Linked DNA regions of Drosophila melanogaster. The protein of the gene in region 3 purifies or fractionates together with the protein of the main gene of each other region. This does not show direct contact. Each region holds a gene or a part of one and is shown on either strand. Other genes may lie near its edges.

Evidence for each region. The genes of interacting proteins can lie anywhere in the genome.
Region 1: the proteins of CG18747 (region 3) and CG8547 purify together in Drosophila melanogaster (affinity purification with mass spectrometry, with the first as the bait; one large-scale study listed by BioGRID). This does not show direct contact.
Region 2: the proteins of CG18747 (region 3) and CG14995 purify together in Drosophila melanogaster (affinity purification with mass spectrometry, with the first as the bait; one large-scale study listed by BioGRID). This does not show direct contact.

The regions. Positions count from the first base shown.
Region 1 is NT_033778.4:14,261,879-14,269,568, reverse strand, and holds the start of CG8547 (uncharacterized protein), read left to right. Parts: upstream 1-1,649; 5' UTR 1,650-1,870; intron 1,871-2,071; exon of another isoform or gene 2,072-2,230; intron 2,231-5,353; 5' UTR 5,354-5,371; coding exon 5,372-5,440; intron 5,441-5,505; coding exon 5,506-5,705; intron 5,706-5,773; coding exon 5,774-5,979; intron 5,980-6,039; coding exon 6,040-7,094; intron 7,095-7,397; coding exon 7,398-7,589; intron 7,590-7,648; coding exon 7,649-7,690. Other genes in the region: Sps1 (selenophosphate synthetase 1), read left to right, coding at 1-603.
Region 2 is NT_037436.4:4,099,920-4,104,479, reverse strand, and holds the start of CG14995 (uncharacterized protein), read left to right. Parts: upstream 1-1,519; 5' UTR 1,520-2,923; coding exon 2,924-3,003; intron 3,004-3,265; exon of another isoform or gene 3,266-3,299; coding exon of another isoform or gene 3,300-3,484; intron 3,485-3,634; coding exon 3,635-3,700; intron 3,701-4,560. Other genes in the region: Fit1 (fermitin 1), read right to left, coding at 1-220.
Region 3 is NT_033777.3:7,780,343-7,785,142, reverse strand, and holds CG18747 (uncharacterized protein), read left to right. Parts: upstream 1-1,696; 5' UTR 1,697-1,741; coding exon 1,742-1,856; intron 1,857-2,328; coding exon 2,329-2,457; intron 2,458-2,514; coding exon 2,515-2,747; intron 2,748-2,992; coding exon 2,993-3,587; intron 3,588-3,968; coding exon 3,969-4,153; 3' UTR 4,154-4,259; downstream 4,260-4,800. Other genes in the region: CG18745 (uncharacterized protein), read left to right, coding at 27-238, 306-879, 945-1,201.

The DNA.
Region 1 (7,690 bases), on a different chromosome or scaffold from region 3:
TCGACCATTTGCCAGCCAAATGAGTATATTGTGCCAGATAATGCCGTGGTAGGGGATGTACTGGTGCTAACCAAGCCACTGGGCACCCAAGTGGCCGTGAATGCCCACCAGTGGATTGACCAGCCGGAGCGCTGGAACCGCATTAAGCTGGTGGTGTCCGAAGAAGATGTACGCAAGGCCTACCACCGGGCGATGAACTCTATGGCTCGCCTCAACCGCGTAGCCGCTCGCCTCATGCACAAGTACAATGCCCACGGAGCCACCGATATTACTGGATTCGGACTACTAGGCCACGCTCAAACCCTGGCTGCACATCAGAAAAAGGATGTCTCCTTTGTTATCCACAATCTGCCGGTGATCGCCAAGATGGCTGCAGTGGCCAAAGCCTGCGGCAACATGTTCCAGCTGCTGCAGGGCCACTCGGCGGAGACCTCGGGAGGATTACTGATCTGCCTGCCGCGAGAGCAGGCCGCTGCTTATTGCAAGGACATCGAGAAGCAGGAGGGCTACCAGGCCTGGATCATCGGCATCGTTGAGAAGGGCAATAAGACCGCACGCATCATCGACAAGCCCCGCGTCATTGAGGTGCCCGCCAAGGACTAGGTCTCCATTGCCTGACCATCTGCTATTGTCTACCTTAAGTATCTTAATATTAACGTAACGGCTGCTACATTCAGTTGTAACCGGCATGATCGGTCTTTGTTTTTTATAAAAAAGCTTATCAACTACAGATTCACTGATCATTATAATCTTGGACGTCTCTACTGCAATACGAGTGAATAAAATGAAAACACTTGAATCTTTTGTATCGAGTAATTGGAATGCGGGGCATCTGAATGAGCTTTTTCCAGTCAACTTTGTTATTAAATTACAGCTCACAGTTTGGCAAAAAGTGGAGCATCTTCGGAATCGCATACATTTTGAACAGTTGTGTGTTGAGAATTTAATCGACTTATTTAACCCACTAAATAAGTTGTAGAAGTCACATTTATTTTTGTTTAGTTAGTGCACCTGCGCTTTGAGGCTAAAAACTCAGCTGGTGTAAATTTTAAATTTGCTTGCTGATTTTAGTTTACAGTCGCATGCTTATGAAATCAGCACGCGTTTTGAAAGTCAAATTGTTGGAGGTTTAAGTGAATTTTAATCGTTAAGCTTTGTTTCGCAGTTCAAACTTGGGAGCGGGTTATCAGGAAAGTAATTGTCAAGTACCAAGCCAGCAAAAAGAAGTGTCATGTATCTCATTTAGATACGTGTGCTGATAGTACCTTCAGATAGTTTAAAACATGTTTGAGTACAGGAATATTCTTACTAAAAATATGATCATTTTGAACTGAACTTCATTTGAAAATTAATTGGTTATGATAAGTTTGAGAGTGAATTTCGGAAACATGGACATTTAAAGAGACATTTAAAGGACGTTGATTTGTTGAGGAGAATTTAGCATGGGTTATCAGATACCCTAACCTCCTAACCTCTATTGTTCGATCAATCGGCATTAGTTGCGGAGAGCGAAAAGCTTTGCAAGCTCTAAAAACCAAAACCGAGCGAGAGATGCTCTCGTGCGAACAGGTCTCCGGCAAGTTGCCATCGGATGGGATCGGATCGCACTGGTGGGGATCGGGATCGCTGGTGGCAAGTGCGGATCGTGGGCCTCAGTACCGCCCGAGCTAGCGACGCGTTAAGATCCGCATCCGAATCGTAAACACAACGAGAAACTTACACTGCGCGCACCGTTACACTTTTGTGCTGGGAGCGATCGAACACTAATACACTGACCAACGAATTTCCCGCACAACGAAGAGATTTTCCCTCCCCAATTGAACTGTACTTGGACGTACGTTGCGTTTTTGGAGTTTTGGAAAAGTGCACAGTGAGTGCTGCAAGTATTTGTACATACAGAGCCACATAGCGATACAAACGTCGATAGATAGAAAGATACATATGTAGATAGTGTGTGGGCTGTTGGGGCTCTTTGCTGTTCGGTGTTTGGTGTTTGGAAGACGAGCTCAAAAACCGCAGTTAGAAACTAGTTTTCCCTACGTGTCGTGGTCGTGGTCGCAGTGGCAGTGGCAGTTGCTGTAGTCGCTGCCTTACATGAACGTGGAAGTACTCGCTTTTTGAAGTGAAATTCGAAAACGCATCCTCCTCGACCATGTAGCGATGTATCTGGCGGATCGCTATTCCTTGTGTATCTCTTCGTGGCCAGATGATTCATGTACGGTGGGCACTCGTACGTACACTCGATTTATTTCCCGACGGAACGGCGCAGTATTCAAATTGAAAGAACAGTGGCAGTGAACTAAAAATAGAATTATTTGTTTTCATATACCAACCGACGAAAATGAGAAAAAAAAAAAAAAATACGAAATAAAATGGCTCGGCAAAAAGCGAAAAGTCGAAAAGTCGAAAAGACTTTGCTCGCCCAGTAAATGTATCTGTGTATCTTTGCATCTGTATCCGAATCGTACGCTCACTAAACTTTCGTTTAATTTAGCCAAGTTCAAACGGCGTCTACAGCTTGTTTATGTCCGCCTGACTTGAACTCGTGTATTGTTTTCGGTGTTCGCCTTGTGTGTGGGTGCCACAAATTGGCAACTCGACACACAGATACGCAACACACTCGCACCGCTGGTAGAACGAACATAAACATATCTACATATAGATAATGATACATGCCTGGCGCATATATAGACGTTAGATTTCGCCTACGTTTTGATATTTGATTTTCGGAAATTTCAACAACAGAACGCCAGCGACGACGACAACACCTTCGCTTTTTATTTTGGCCATTTCAAACTTGTTGTTAGCTCGATATTTGTTTATTTTACGAGTTTGTTTGCTATTGCCTACGTATGCTATATGGCATTTGGTGATCTGTGATCAGCACTCTCGCTTCCCCTTTGCGCAGCCACGCCCACTTGATTGGCTTAACCCAAAGCGAAGGCATCTTCTCCAATTCTTTTGGAAAATCGCGTCTTTTCAACATTTTTTCCTTTGCATATCTATTTTGAAGTGATGATTTAACCGGCATACCAAACAAATTTTTTAACCATTTTAATTTAGATTTATAATCTCAAAAACAACTCATTTGTAATGCGTTAAATCAACACAATGCCATAAAGTTCTCAGAATTTTCTGTTGAAACACCTATTTTCAAAATTGCTATTTTTCCATATTTCAATCTGTGATTCATAACAAACATCCCACCTTTTAAGATAAATGTTTACGTTTGAGAAGAATTTGCGTGAGATAAGTAAAGTTATTTGTAGATTTTTTGTACTTTATGCATTGAACCTTATAATGGTTTATCTTAATAAAATGGAAATATCAGAATACATTTTTCGAAAAATGTAATTGATTAGTTTGTTCCTTGTTAGAAACACAATTAAGTTAAGTTTCTCATCGCTGGCAAACTTTCTCGAGCCTTATAAAGATAGTTGGCTAATATTAAGTTGGCCTTAAGTAGAATACTTGGAAAGCGGGCGTTATCTTTATAAAATAAACTTTGCTTAAACTGAGCAAAATTCATAATTGCAAAGATTTTCATTCATAAAACTGCAAAACTAACCCAGCATGCTAAAATGGCGTGTAATGCCTCAACGGGTTAATTCCGATCGCCAGACAGACAGCAACATGTTTTTGCTCCCCAGAGCTCCAAACCCCCCAGTATATGAGATCATTTCTGAGCTGCCTGTGTATACATATGCAAAAACAAACCATGCTCTCCGCTCTCCGGTCATTTGTGTTTGTTTTTGTTTTCGTCGCCAATCGGAGGCCCAGAGAACTGCTAAAAACGTGCTGAGATCGGGGGAACCGAGCTATATAGCGTGCGTATATAGTAGTGGGCGGGTTGTGGGGGAAGTGGGGGGGAGGTTTCGTTGGAGGTGGCGGCGGCATCAATTAGATTTGGCCTTTTATCTATATTCTATTGGGCTATTTTATGTGTGTGTTTGTCTGACGTGAGGCATTATTATTTGTGTTTTATGTAGCTTTATTTCTTTATTAGCTGTATTCCGTTGACCATATGGCATGTGGCATCCCTCGACCCCCATACACCCCCCCCCCCTTCATCCATTTCCATTCAAAGGTGATTTATTTAGCTCGCCTTGATTTGATTACTTAAGCTCCAATTTGCGTTGACGTTTAATGCAGTTGCTGTCACAAAGCGTCGTCTTATGACATCATCGTCGGTAGTCGGTAGTCGGTCATCCTTCTCGGATTTTTGCATCATCTCCGACTATCTCTCACTCCAAGGTTATCTCTGAAAATCGAGAAAAAAACTGCATTCATACATGTATCTATATATACAGACTAAAAAGGAGTTTAAGGACACGTTGCCGAAAGTGAAAACCAGTTTGACATTGAAATTTCGACTTTGTGCCTCTGTCTGTTTTTTGGTTTTTTTGCCTGTTTGTCAGTTCTGAAAATCAATGCCAGCATTTTTGGTTTCTCTGCCAAAGGGTATTATTATTTTAAGGTCCTCAAAATGGGTATATGCTATTAAAAGATAACACATTTATTATTAATACTTTGCCTTGAAACTTCAAGGTTGTGTAAATTTATTGTTCAAATTAAAAGCTTGTGAACTGACAAATAAATTTGTATCGATTATTGTAAATATGAACATGGAAATTTATAGCCATAACATCCACCTAATATTATAGTTTAAACTACAGAAAAACTCACTGATAGCGATTAATACTCCATATAATAAAACTATATTTTTATATAGCCAATATAAGCATTTATATAACAAGATTAATTATGATGGAAAATATGGATTTTCATGATAATAAACGGTTTCGTTTGTCAGATAACGATATTATCATAACAATCTAATCTGATATGTATATTTTAATATAGGTTAAAACCACGGAATTCTCAAATCAAGACTATAGTTTAAATATTTTTCAAGTTGGTAGCTAGTGGTTGATGGACAGCCCAGCTTTACCAAGTAGACTTAAGTTCTGTAAGGACTGGCCCTTAACAACCATCTCCGCCGCTTTCTAGAGCATTTCATCTTCGCATGACAGGCTCCGTCTGTTCATCGCATCCATTGTGAATTGGCATTCCATACTTTGTGTGCTCAAGTGATGCCCACTTCAGATGACTTAAGCTTCCATTAATGCGCCAAAAGTTCTCACTTCAGAGTGGCGAATGCGGCCATGTTCGAAAATCGACATTGGCGTGGGTGGGGAAAAATGCTTGGGATTCTGGCGAACCGCCTTGACGCGAAATCAACCTGCTATTCGGGGTCGGAATCCGTGATTACGTGTCAGACACCCACGAGTCGTTTGATTTACTCACACGTAGAATTTGAATAATTTATGAATGATACTGGTTTCCGTTTCAGCTAAAAAACTAATTGGAAATGCAGTACTCGAGCAGTTCGGAAAATTACTCATCCTCGTTGCGGGACAAGCCCTCGAAATGGGGCAGGGTAAGCCTTGATTTATGGTCCACATCGGTTAGTAAATCACTCATACGTCACCATTAATTCCTCAGAACGACAAGAACTACGCCTATAAGAAGTCATCCTATCAATACTCGAGTTCTGGCGACAACAATGTCTCGTATCAGGGCAAATCCCCCGACCAGAACATAGATCAATTGGATGCCTTGTTGGAGGATCTGAAGCAGGAACGACAGATTACCAACAGGGAACGCGATCTGCTGCCCAGCAATGGAACCACTTATAGGACACTGTAAGTTTGCACACGATCTCAAATTGTAGTAACTTTACAAGGATTAATGTTTTGATGTTTTGGTGTAGTGAACGCACTGATCCCTCGGGCACCGTAACGAGGACTACGCGAGTGGTCAAGACCAGCAAGCACTCGGGCACCGGTGGCCAGCAGCCATTTATTGATGATGTGGAGACCTTCAGTCCCACCGACTACAGCACCCTGCAGTCCACGGCCAAGTACTCCAGCTTGAAGAGGGACGAGTTCCAGACCAAGGACAAGCCCTATACTCTGGGTAAGAGTTAAAGAGCATATCCAGTGGCACCACTTAAACTAAAATCTTATACGATTTCAGCCCACTCCCCCAGTGGTGGACACTACGAGAGCAAGTCGAAGATCTACGAAAGCAATCGCACCATTAACAACAATGTGGAGCTGCTGCCTGCAACGAGCAGCACACATCAGACTTTGACCAGCGGCACCACCATTGACAAGGAGCTGCAGGACATCGCTCTGGGCGATGGCATCCTGCCTGCCCCAGGCACCAAGGTGACCACCACGGTGAGGACCTACACCTATGAGATCCCGGCCACTGGTCCCGGCAGCAACACCAGCACCATTAACCGCACCCACACGCTGAACAACTCGAATACGCTGAGCAGCACCTACAAGCACCACGAAAGCCACAACTCCAGTCAGAACTTCTCGCAGCTGTCGCCCGTTCCGCACCCACAGCCTAGCCATGTGCCACAGACGGTGGTTTACAACACTGAGAGCTACTCCACGTTGAACCGGAACAGCGATCGTCCGGTGGTTAGCAACCAGTCGTACGAGATCAGAGAGCACAAGGAGACCACCACTCGCGGCGTGAGCCCACAGCCCCGTCAACTACCTTTGGGATCGGGTCCGGCGGGAACTCCACCGGGCAATCGTACGGTCATCTACAACATCCACAAGACGGATCACGTCAACACAGTCAACGAGCTGCCACCACAGCAGCGCTATCCGCCGCGCAGTCCGGCTCACAGTCCCAACTACGGAGGACCACACAGTCCACCACTACAGCCGGGAGTGAATCGCTACTACTACAAGGAGACGGAGACCTCGAACACGGTCAATAGCATCCACGGACCGCCGAACGGTGGACCTTACGAGCCGGGTCTACCTCAGTCCGCTCCGCTGAAACAGCTGCCGCCCAACAACGCGTATCCACAGCAGCCACCAAATGGAAATGGTTATCCACCGAATTCGACCACTTACAGCTACAAATACTCCTCGACCACCAACACAAACAACCGACGTGGCCCGGACTACGGCTCGCCATCTCCATTCCCCGTGGATGGCGTGGAGTATCCAGTGAATAGCAATCCTCCCCAGCGAGTGGACGATCTGATGCAGTCATTCGGAACTGTAAGTATTTGAAGTATACTGAAGTTACTTTCCAATTTCTGTTTGTTTAAAAACTAATCAGTAATAGCTTCTTGTTTGCAAGTCAGTAATTAAGCCACTAATAACTTGGTGAAACCGATTAGAACGAAAGTCGTTATCGCAATGCCAAAAAACTGGTAGTTAGAGAATACTTTCGTATGAACTCATAATACCTCAGTTAGATAAAGATAACACATTTATCATTTTAATGGTATCATAATTACTTATACTTGGCAGTGATTTTTATGATCTTTGATTTGACTCCGTATCTACTCTATATCTTAGACCACCGACCATGTGGATCGCGTGGACATTGAGACTCCAGTGCGCAAGCGTGAAATCGAGACGGCGGTTGCCTCGCCCAACCAACAGCATGTGCCATCGGTGAACAAGGCGGGAAAAGAGGTGTACTATCCACCCGGACACGACACCATCGTCATGAAGCGCGAGGAGATGCATGCTGGATCTGCCTCAGGCGTGAGTATTGGATACTTACCAAGGTGGAATATGCCCAACTGATAATCCTACATCCACAGGGTCGCTGGGCCAAGGGATCCGGAATGTACGAGTACGAGTCC
Region 2 (4,560 bases), on a different chromosome or scaffold from region 3:
CTCCGGCCTGGTCCAAAGTGGACCGCGTCCTGGTCAGCCAGATATTCTTGGCGGGCCACCACAGGGCGTGATCGGACCAATCCTTGGGCAACTCCGGATCCACCAGGTTCAGCATTACGCCGCCAATGTGCTGGTCACCCTTCACGCGCAGCGTCTTCTCCACCTGCAGATCCGTGATGAGGATCCGCAGGTTCCACGTATTTTCGCCCACATGAATCATCTTTCGCTAAAAGTTCCGATGCGCGGGCGTCTCTTCTGTCCAAAGGCGAAACTATAACTGCGGGTATATTTGTATAGTGTATATATATGGCACAATCAGAGTCTAAATTTGCCCTCGAAACGATGACGTAATTCAACTTACGTTCAGCACCGTTTTTGCAACCAAGTTTTTGTTGTTCTTGTCGTTGTCGTTGGCTGGCGGGGAGCGGAGAGGGGGGGACTGCGACTGTGGCGGTGGCGAAACTATATAGGCCCTTATCTCGCCAGATGTTTGCACGGAAACAGAAACGCCAGCGAAACAGACCCAACAATCCAACAAGCCGAGTAATCCAGATCAAAATCGTTGGATGTAGAGATGGTGGTGGTATGTATGATGATAAAAGGGGGGGAGAGGCGGGGATGTACGGATCACTTGATTAACACACGCCCAAGGTTACGATTTTGATGGCTTGCTTGCTGCTGCTTGGGATGTTTTGTTTTCCCGATCTCTCTAGCAATCGCAATTCGCAGCGTTTTCCTCGCTCTTTTCCTCGCACATCAACACACCGACGAACACTAATGCACGCGCTCAAAAATGCGATGCAAATTTTCACAAAACAACACGTCGCGGGCGACGAGACAAAGCGAACGAGCCGAGATAGAGAGAAATTAATTTATAAATAAACCAGCAGCAGAGCAGTATGACCGTTTGTCTGCGCATATCGATGGTTCGCGCCAGCGAAATCGAACTTATCGGAACGGATGGTAAGAAGTATAGTTTAAATTTTGTTAAAAATTACATCGAAAATTAAGCAATACCATTTACCGTTAATTCTCGTGCTTAGTTTTTTGTTATTAAACTTACTGCAAGAGATATTAACCACCATACATTCTTATAAATTCTACTTTCACAATTGAACCGTGGATAGGGCATACCTAATACATTAGATTCGCATGATTTAATATAATTCGTATTCGACTTGAAACGAATTTGTGTATGGCAATCTATTGTATTGTATCAATTGTATTGTATCATAATATCGGACAGGCAAAGAACAATGAAGTCGTGGAGATTGGCACTATTGTTCCTCATTTATTTCTTCGAATTGGCTTATTCCATACGTACCTGTGGCCCAGGACGAGAAAGGAACTGTCATATTAATACTAAGCAAAAATATCAAAGGCCGAAACATTATTAACGTAACCACATGTTAACAGTAAGCACATATTTTAAAATGAGGGTACAAATATGAAAAGTGTATCGATATTTATTTTTTTCCAGAAATGGGGGTCACACCGGCCCAATGGTCATCTCTAAGTTATCGTAACGAAAAATATAGTTCTGTTGTTTTAATAATTTTAGTAGAAAGCAAATCTGCTATTATGAATATCAATTTAAATTAACGCATGTTCCAGTTAACTAATTTGTTATAAAGCAAAAGTACATGCATATATAAAAACAATACTGGTTTTTCTCCTCCTCTCTCGCTGTTTCGCTCTTTCCGCTCTTTTTCTCCACACCGCATTCGTAAACAAAGACAATGAAAGCTCCAGTTGAACGGCTAAAGAGGCCTCAAAGCCCCCAGATTGTTTTTCGCCGTTGAGCCGAGCGCACGTATTCGAAAAAACAACTAATAGTGTATAATAGTGCAGTATTGTGTAAAACACGCGCGTCTCTGCTTTCTCGCTCTGGCACCCACCCATACACTTTCGCGTGCCCATACACACATACCTGTAAGAGAGCGAGATACGAAAAACGGTGCATGGAAAATAGGAAAATCGGAACTGAAAAAGTCGGAATTTCGTTTAATCAAGTTAGCTGCGCGTACTACTGTCAGTTTCGAATTGAAAGTGCCGGCCCAGGGTTTTTCAAATAGTCATATCGTTAAGAAATTCGAAATAAGACACACACCCACAAGTTCTCGGACAAAAACATCTCGGCACGAAAAAATCGATGCAGCAATGTAAAAATTTGACAAACTCCCGTACCACAGAATGAAAGCAACAATTGAGTTACACACATATACATAGTGTAGTTAAGCGGTGTGTTACGTTCATATACATACTCGTAACAATAATAAAAAAAAGCGCGGCGCAACAACCCGAGCGGCTTATTCATCCATGCAGGAGATTCGAGATACAAAACATCAGATACAATAGCAAAACAGCAGTCTAGCATCGAAATTTTAGTCAGTTGAAAAAAACCGAAAAGCACAAGAAATTTTCATTTTGTTCGGTCCCTTAACGATAAATCCTAACGTTTTTGGCAATTAACGAATATTGTAGCTGTGGAAAGGAGCCACACTACAGCAAATACACCAACATTAAGCGGTTGATAAACCCGAACTCAGAGCAACTTGAAGACTGGAAGACATACGTAATTACAACAAATTGCAGCAACAACAAAGCAACGCCTACGACACGCCAGTGATTACAACAATAATAGCAGCAAAAGCAAAAACGAAATTATTTACCACAACAAGGCATAACCTGTTGTAGCTATTTCACTGTACTGCATTGTTGCTCACCTCTCGGCATCTAAAATTGGGCATTCACAAGCGGCTTATAGTAAATACGCGTTTAACCATCGGCTGTGAATACACAATCATTATATAGCCGGAATCTGCAAGTGGCACACCTGTGGCCACGGGTCAGTTGAACACCAGTTGGAGCAACAGCATCGCCATCATCATCACCATCACCATCACAGCCACAAGTACACACAATGTCGAGACTCACCGAGGAAATGGTGATAGCGCGGGCCAAGCAATCCGATTTGTCCCTGATCAAAAAGCTAAATTGCTGGTAAGTAGACAGCCCAAATAACTAGAAATATTTATAGAATATATCATCATATCATACTGAATAACGAAAGGAATGCTTGCATTAGTGCAATAACTAGATTGTTTGTAAATTTTTAGTCAGCGGCATATTAATCATGCTTTAGCAAAGTTAGGACGACTAATTGTTTATTATTGTTCAGACTCAACCCACTGTTAATTTCATCGATTTTCGATCTAATTTTCGCCTGTGCATTGATCTATTGCTAATCGTGCTGGGGCAGGTGCAGCCACTATAGTGAAAGCTTCGATCTGTGTTGAATGGGTCTGCGATCTGGTGTCTGGGGTTTGGGGGATCTGCCCACTTTGCTGCTCACTTCGGTCGCTCCGGCTGCTTTCACTCGACCCAATTCCAGGGGCAATCTTCTAACCAGTTTAGAAGTGTCCACTTTGGAGCGAGTCACGATTTCCTGGACTGGAAAAACACGCGCCCCTCGAGAAAAACGGTTGGAAAAGCGTGAAAAGCAGTTGAACTACTTTCCGTGATGGGCCCCCAACTCTTGACCCATCTGCGATAAGCGTGTTGCCTGCTAAGAGGGCTCCACTGTACATTATTTATCTTTATTAAAATGCCATCTATTCTGTGCTTATTTCAGGGGCAGTGATCTCAGCGATGTGTCCATCATCAAGCGAATGCGTGGAGTGGAAGTTCTGGCTCTTAGGTAAGTCACAAGTCGTGAAATATTTCTTCTATAAGGATCATTTTGATTTCCTGACTCGGTGCCTTTTGATTGATACAAAGTGTGCGGCTCGCCGCCGAGAGAATGCGGTAGAGATATATATATTAAAAAGCTAGCGAGATATTTGCTTTCCAGTGATGTCATCGCCCCATCATTAGGCAAGCTCAAATACGAAAGATACTTTGGCACGCTCAAGCGCGTAATTAATGCAAAAAGCTGGGGACGCAGAAAACTACAGAAAATAAGCTAAAAGTCGTGGGAGCTCCCAAATTGGCAATAGCAACTGGCCGCGTACTTTTCCAAGTCGCGTAGGCCACACTGCGTAGTGGGCAGATACTATAGTTATGACTCGTATCTGCTAGATACTTTTGTATCTCGCTGTGCCTTGTACCTCATCTGGTACTGCTGGATACTTGTTGTACTTGCATGTCGCTCGATAAGTTTGCATGTGCTGCTGCTGCTGCTGCTGCTTTTGCTGATTTCGCCACTTTTGCCATAAAAGGCGACAATCATTTTGACTGCCAAGGTCGCCGAAATCCATTTCACCCCCCCAAAAACTTCTGTCATCTGTTGGCAATGTGCTGAAAACTCTCGACTCTTGCGATTCGTTTAATTATGCATAAAACAGATATAGATGGAGGTGCATATATACAAGAGTTCGTGGCCTTATAGGGAGATTTGGCATTGAACTTAGGGGAAAAGAACCGTGAGAATAACAGGAAATAATAATTTAGGTATGGGCGAATCAGCTATTTCAGATGAAGCGAATAATATGTCGACCCAGTGAACAGGAAGCTATAATTATGGTATTGAAGTTGTAGATATCGCACCTTAAACAGAAA
Region 3 (4,800 bases):
CATCTAATTGCTAATCATATCTGCAGGCCAAGTATCCATTGAAGCGGGAATTCACACTTACAACTTCGTGTGCCTGATTCCCACCGAATGTCCTTCGTCCTTCGAGGGATCACACGGCAGGGTGCGGTACATGGCAACCGTAACCCTCGTCAGGCCCTGGAAATTCGATCAGAGCTATACCCGATGCTTTACGGTGCTAAAAGTGATGGACTTGAACTTCGATAGTCCACTGCTAAGGGTACGAATCAAAATCAAACACGAATACATATCTGTTAGAACCTAAGCTAATTGAATATGTTATGTAGGTACCCGCCCACAGTGAAACCTCGAAGACCTACTGCTGCTGGCCTTGCCGATCAGATCCGTTGGCCCTCCAACTGACCGTTCCACAGACAGGATTTGTACCTGGCCAGAATGTTCCCCTTAGCGTGCTGGTCACAAACGATAGCCACATTCCGGTGGAGCAGCTCCTCATTAGTTTTGTGATGCTGGTGACATACCACAGTAAGCCACCTTCGATGCCCAATACCACGTCCGAGAGGTTGGTGGTAAACACCTTCAAGGGGGACGCTGTGCAAAGGAACTGCAAGAAGCTATTTAGCTATGAGATCAGAGTCCCGGCCACTCCGCCCACCTGCTTCAACCTGTGCGGCATCATCCAGATCGCCTACCAAGTGGAGGTGGAGGCCAGGGTGAAGGGTTGCCACAACAACGAGGTTGTCACCATTCCGCTGACCATTGGCAGTGTCCCTCTTGCACAACACGTACCAATCCAGCCTCGGGGTTTCGTCCCCCAGCTGAATGTTAATGAGCTGGCTGTTGAAGAAGTAGCCACTGCTCCAAACTCTTCAAGTCCATGGTCTGTCGACGCATCCATTCGTGAGTTTACTAGAATCCATAAACTAATTACAGTATCAATTTATGTTTTTTGTTGGTGTTTTTAGCTCCGCCCAACTATCAGGAGGCTGTTCACATGCGCAGCACGGCTGCAACGAGGTCAGACGACTTAGACGACCCGGAACCAGTACCGCCCAATACTCTCAGTTTGGATGGCGGTGCTTATAAGCCACTCTATCCGGTCTTCGACATACCCAGTCCCTCAGCTCCGCCGCCGACGGATTATACGCAGAATTATATGGCAGAGAGGGCCTTTGTCAATCCGGCCATGGATGTGGACAAAGACAAGGGAACGTGGCTATGAGAACGAAAATAAATACTATACTAGAAATGTAAGGGCGATAAAGCATTTGCACACAAGGCAAAAGTTCCACCTAACACTTTATAATAAACATTTTATCACAATTCCAAGACTGGTACAGGGTGGAGCGATTTTTGAAATTATTCGAAATTATATATATATTACCATATGTAGTCTAAGATTTTCAAACACGACGCTTTTCTTTCCTCTTGAAAACCCCTCGATGAATGCTGGCAATAACTTCCCCAGTGCCAAGGTCTCGACAACCAACTCTGATAACAGACCGAAAACCCCAAGTGAACGTCCGAGTAGTTCGCAAGGGAACTTATTATCGACTCTTATACAGTTTGGACTACGATTCCGTATCGTTCCCGGTGAAATCCGAATCCGACATCGGGTCCAAGTTATGGTTCTTATCGCTTATCTAACGACGCGGTCGCACCGCAAGCAGTCCAGAAGTTTTGTACTTAAATTAGTCGCAGTGAGTTGCCCCATAACATCGGTTTTAGCTTTTTCGCGCTCGGACATTTAATCTTGGGAAAAATGGTTGTTACGTGTGAGATCAGCTTCGATAATAATAAACATGGTACTTTCTACGCCGGTCAGCTGGTAAAAGGATGCGCGACCCTTAAATGTGACAGGTCCAAGGAGGTTCAAGGTAATTATAGTAAACGTTTAATAAACTACATTGAAAACAAATCCCAGAAGTTCGGCTAATTTCTTGAAGTTAGCTCTTCCTAGCGGCAGTATTATAAATATTTGCTCGATAACGATGTGTGTGTATGTAGAAATTGTATATTTTTATGACGACACTGAATTTAGCGGACATTCTTAGACGCGGAATGTGTTCGGTTGATTGATAACACTTTGAAGTGGCTTTGCTTTGGTATTATTTTAATAACGTGATTAGGAGGAAGGTTAGGCCCATCGCAAAATTTATTTTGAATTATATAAGGAATATTTTGATTTTACTGACAATATTTAAATTCTCCTCAAGTATTTATAACAGTTCAGTTGAGATTAGAATTGGCTTAACTATATTGTGCACTCCCAACTTTATTAACAGATTATATAGACACCATGATAACACTATATCCTAACTCTTTTCTTTATTTTCTCTTAAATCGCAGCTGTGCTGCTCAAGGTAGTCGGATATTCTATAACCAAGTGGAGCGAAAAGAGTCTGGGCTCGACAAAACTCTACGTGGGCCGGGAGGATTATCTATCATCAAATACTTATCTCGTGGGTTCCGAGCAAAGTGAGTAGAAACCTCAAAGATGTTTGCTTTTATAAACAATTTTATCTCCCAAAAAAGACAACACTCACAACAACACTCACAGACTCACTATTGAGGCTGGGGTTCACAGCTACAACTTCACCTGCCAGCTGCCCTATCAATGCCCCTCGTCCTTTGAGGGTCGCCATGGATGCATCCGCTATATAGTGAAAGTCCTGCTGATCAGACCGTGGAAGTTCGATCAGGCCTACACAAAGGGCTTCACGGTTCTCAAGATGCTGGATCTCAACTTTGACACTCCCCAGCTAAAGGTTAGTATGCAACTAGCAATGATGTATTTTGTGAAATATAAAATACTTCATAATACACTTAAAATGACTTTTTTTAAGTTGAAGACGTACAGACATTTTAGGTACTTTTAATGAACTATAGTTATATTTTACTTGTGGATTCAAAGTAATCATACTAAGATAATGATAATTCAAATGATTCGGTGTTATAGTGATACAAAAATTATATTTAGGTTAATTATATCGTATCGATTCATCCATTACAGTCCGCTGCCCACAGCGAGGGTTACCGCACCTTTTGCTGTGGTCCATGCAAGACGGATCCTTTAAAACTGGAGCTGCACCTTCCACAAGCAGGCTACGTTCCTGGCCAGAAGATTCCCGTGACCATTGTGGTAGTCAACAACACTGCCGTAGCCGTCTCCGAAATCCGACTCTCTCTGGTAATGCTGGTGAGATACTACAGCGTCAGTCCTGAACACTCTCGAGTGGAGCGATTAATAATATCGCGAGCTAAGGGGGAATCGGTGCTGAAGCAGTGCACCCGATCCCAGACCATCGATTTGCCCGTACCCTCAACGCCGCCCACCTGCGTGGAGTTGAGCAACCTCATCCAGATCGCCTACCAACTGGAGGTTGAGGCGTTGGTTAAGAGTCTACGCGAACAACAGCTGATGGTCATGCCGGTTACCGTTGGCACCATTCCTCTGGCGGTTTCGGGCATTGTGGTTCAACAACCTCCCCGGCGGAGCGCCCACTACGAAGGACCGGATTCCAGAAGGAATCCTCCCGACGAGCTACCCATGGTTACCGCACTTGAGAGCTTGCCCAGCGACCTGGCATCCAGTGCTGCTGATTCAGGTGAGATCATGATTTTGCAGTCTACGTGCCAATGAACTTGTAATGATTGACTGCAATCTTATCAAATTCTTTAACGAACTGAGCACGAAGTTTTTGTAGACATCGCCTATACTTTCAAAACATATGCCAAACGCAAGCTTCAAGTGCCATTACTAGGTAATAATAAAATGGCTAACAAAAGTTCAAAAGAAAATAATAAATAATGTATTACGGCTTATATAGTCACTTTGAGTAGAAGAAAAGGTGCGAAACTTATTTCCAGATTAACAAATATTTTTAAATTTAAACGATAAGAAAAGCTTGCATGGGTAGTATAACTTACTTTATATTTTATTTATAATAGTTATGTTTACTAAACCACGTTATTCTTCTACTTTACAGCGCTCCCCAATTATGAGGAGTCCCGTCACACTCAGCGGGGCAATATCAACGAAGAGGAACTACATGCCTTCGGGAGCAATGAGTTTGCTCCACTTTATCCCGTGTATAGTATACCTAGTCCTACGCCCGTGCTCACGGCAAACGCCCGGAATGCGGGATTCGTCAACCAAAGTTTTGTCAAATAGAGCATTTTAATTTTGAAAAACTTATCACTAAGATGTTTCAATTGGCAATACTTGATTGGATTCATTGTAGACCAAAAACCAAAAAAAATAAACTTATTTAAATGTCCATACAGTACTCAATTTATTTGTACTCTTAAGATACCTTTGACCCTCCTCTCACTTTACATCTTACATTACAGCGCGAAATATTCTAAAAACTTGTATGTTACAGTATAAATATTACTGTAAAGTACAGTATTAAATAATATAATTTTTAACAATACATTCTTCAGTGCAACTATAAATTTAGCTTCTGGTTATACATTATCCTTACTTTCTAAATTGTGCTGTTATAGTAAATATTGCAAGAGCTAACTTTACAGACAATAATAAATAGGTAGGAATAAGAATTAGAAATAATTCATTTAAGTACACTTTTCAGTATGTAATATATTTTGATGTAATATACAGAGGAAACCGAAAAATGTATTCTTACTGCAAATAACTTACATTACGAGGTAAGAAATAATTGGTAGATAACGTGAAAGTTACATTCTATAATATCCTGTACTGTGTATGCTGTTAATATACAAAGAAAACCGAACAATGTATCCTTACTGCTATGTAAGAAGTATTTTGTAACTTACAAATAACTTACATTTCGAGGT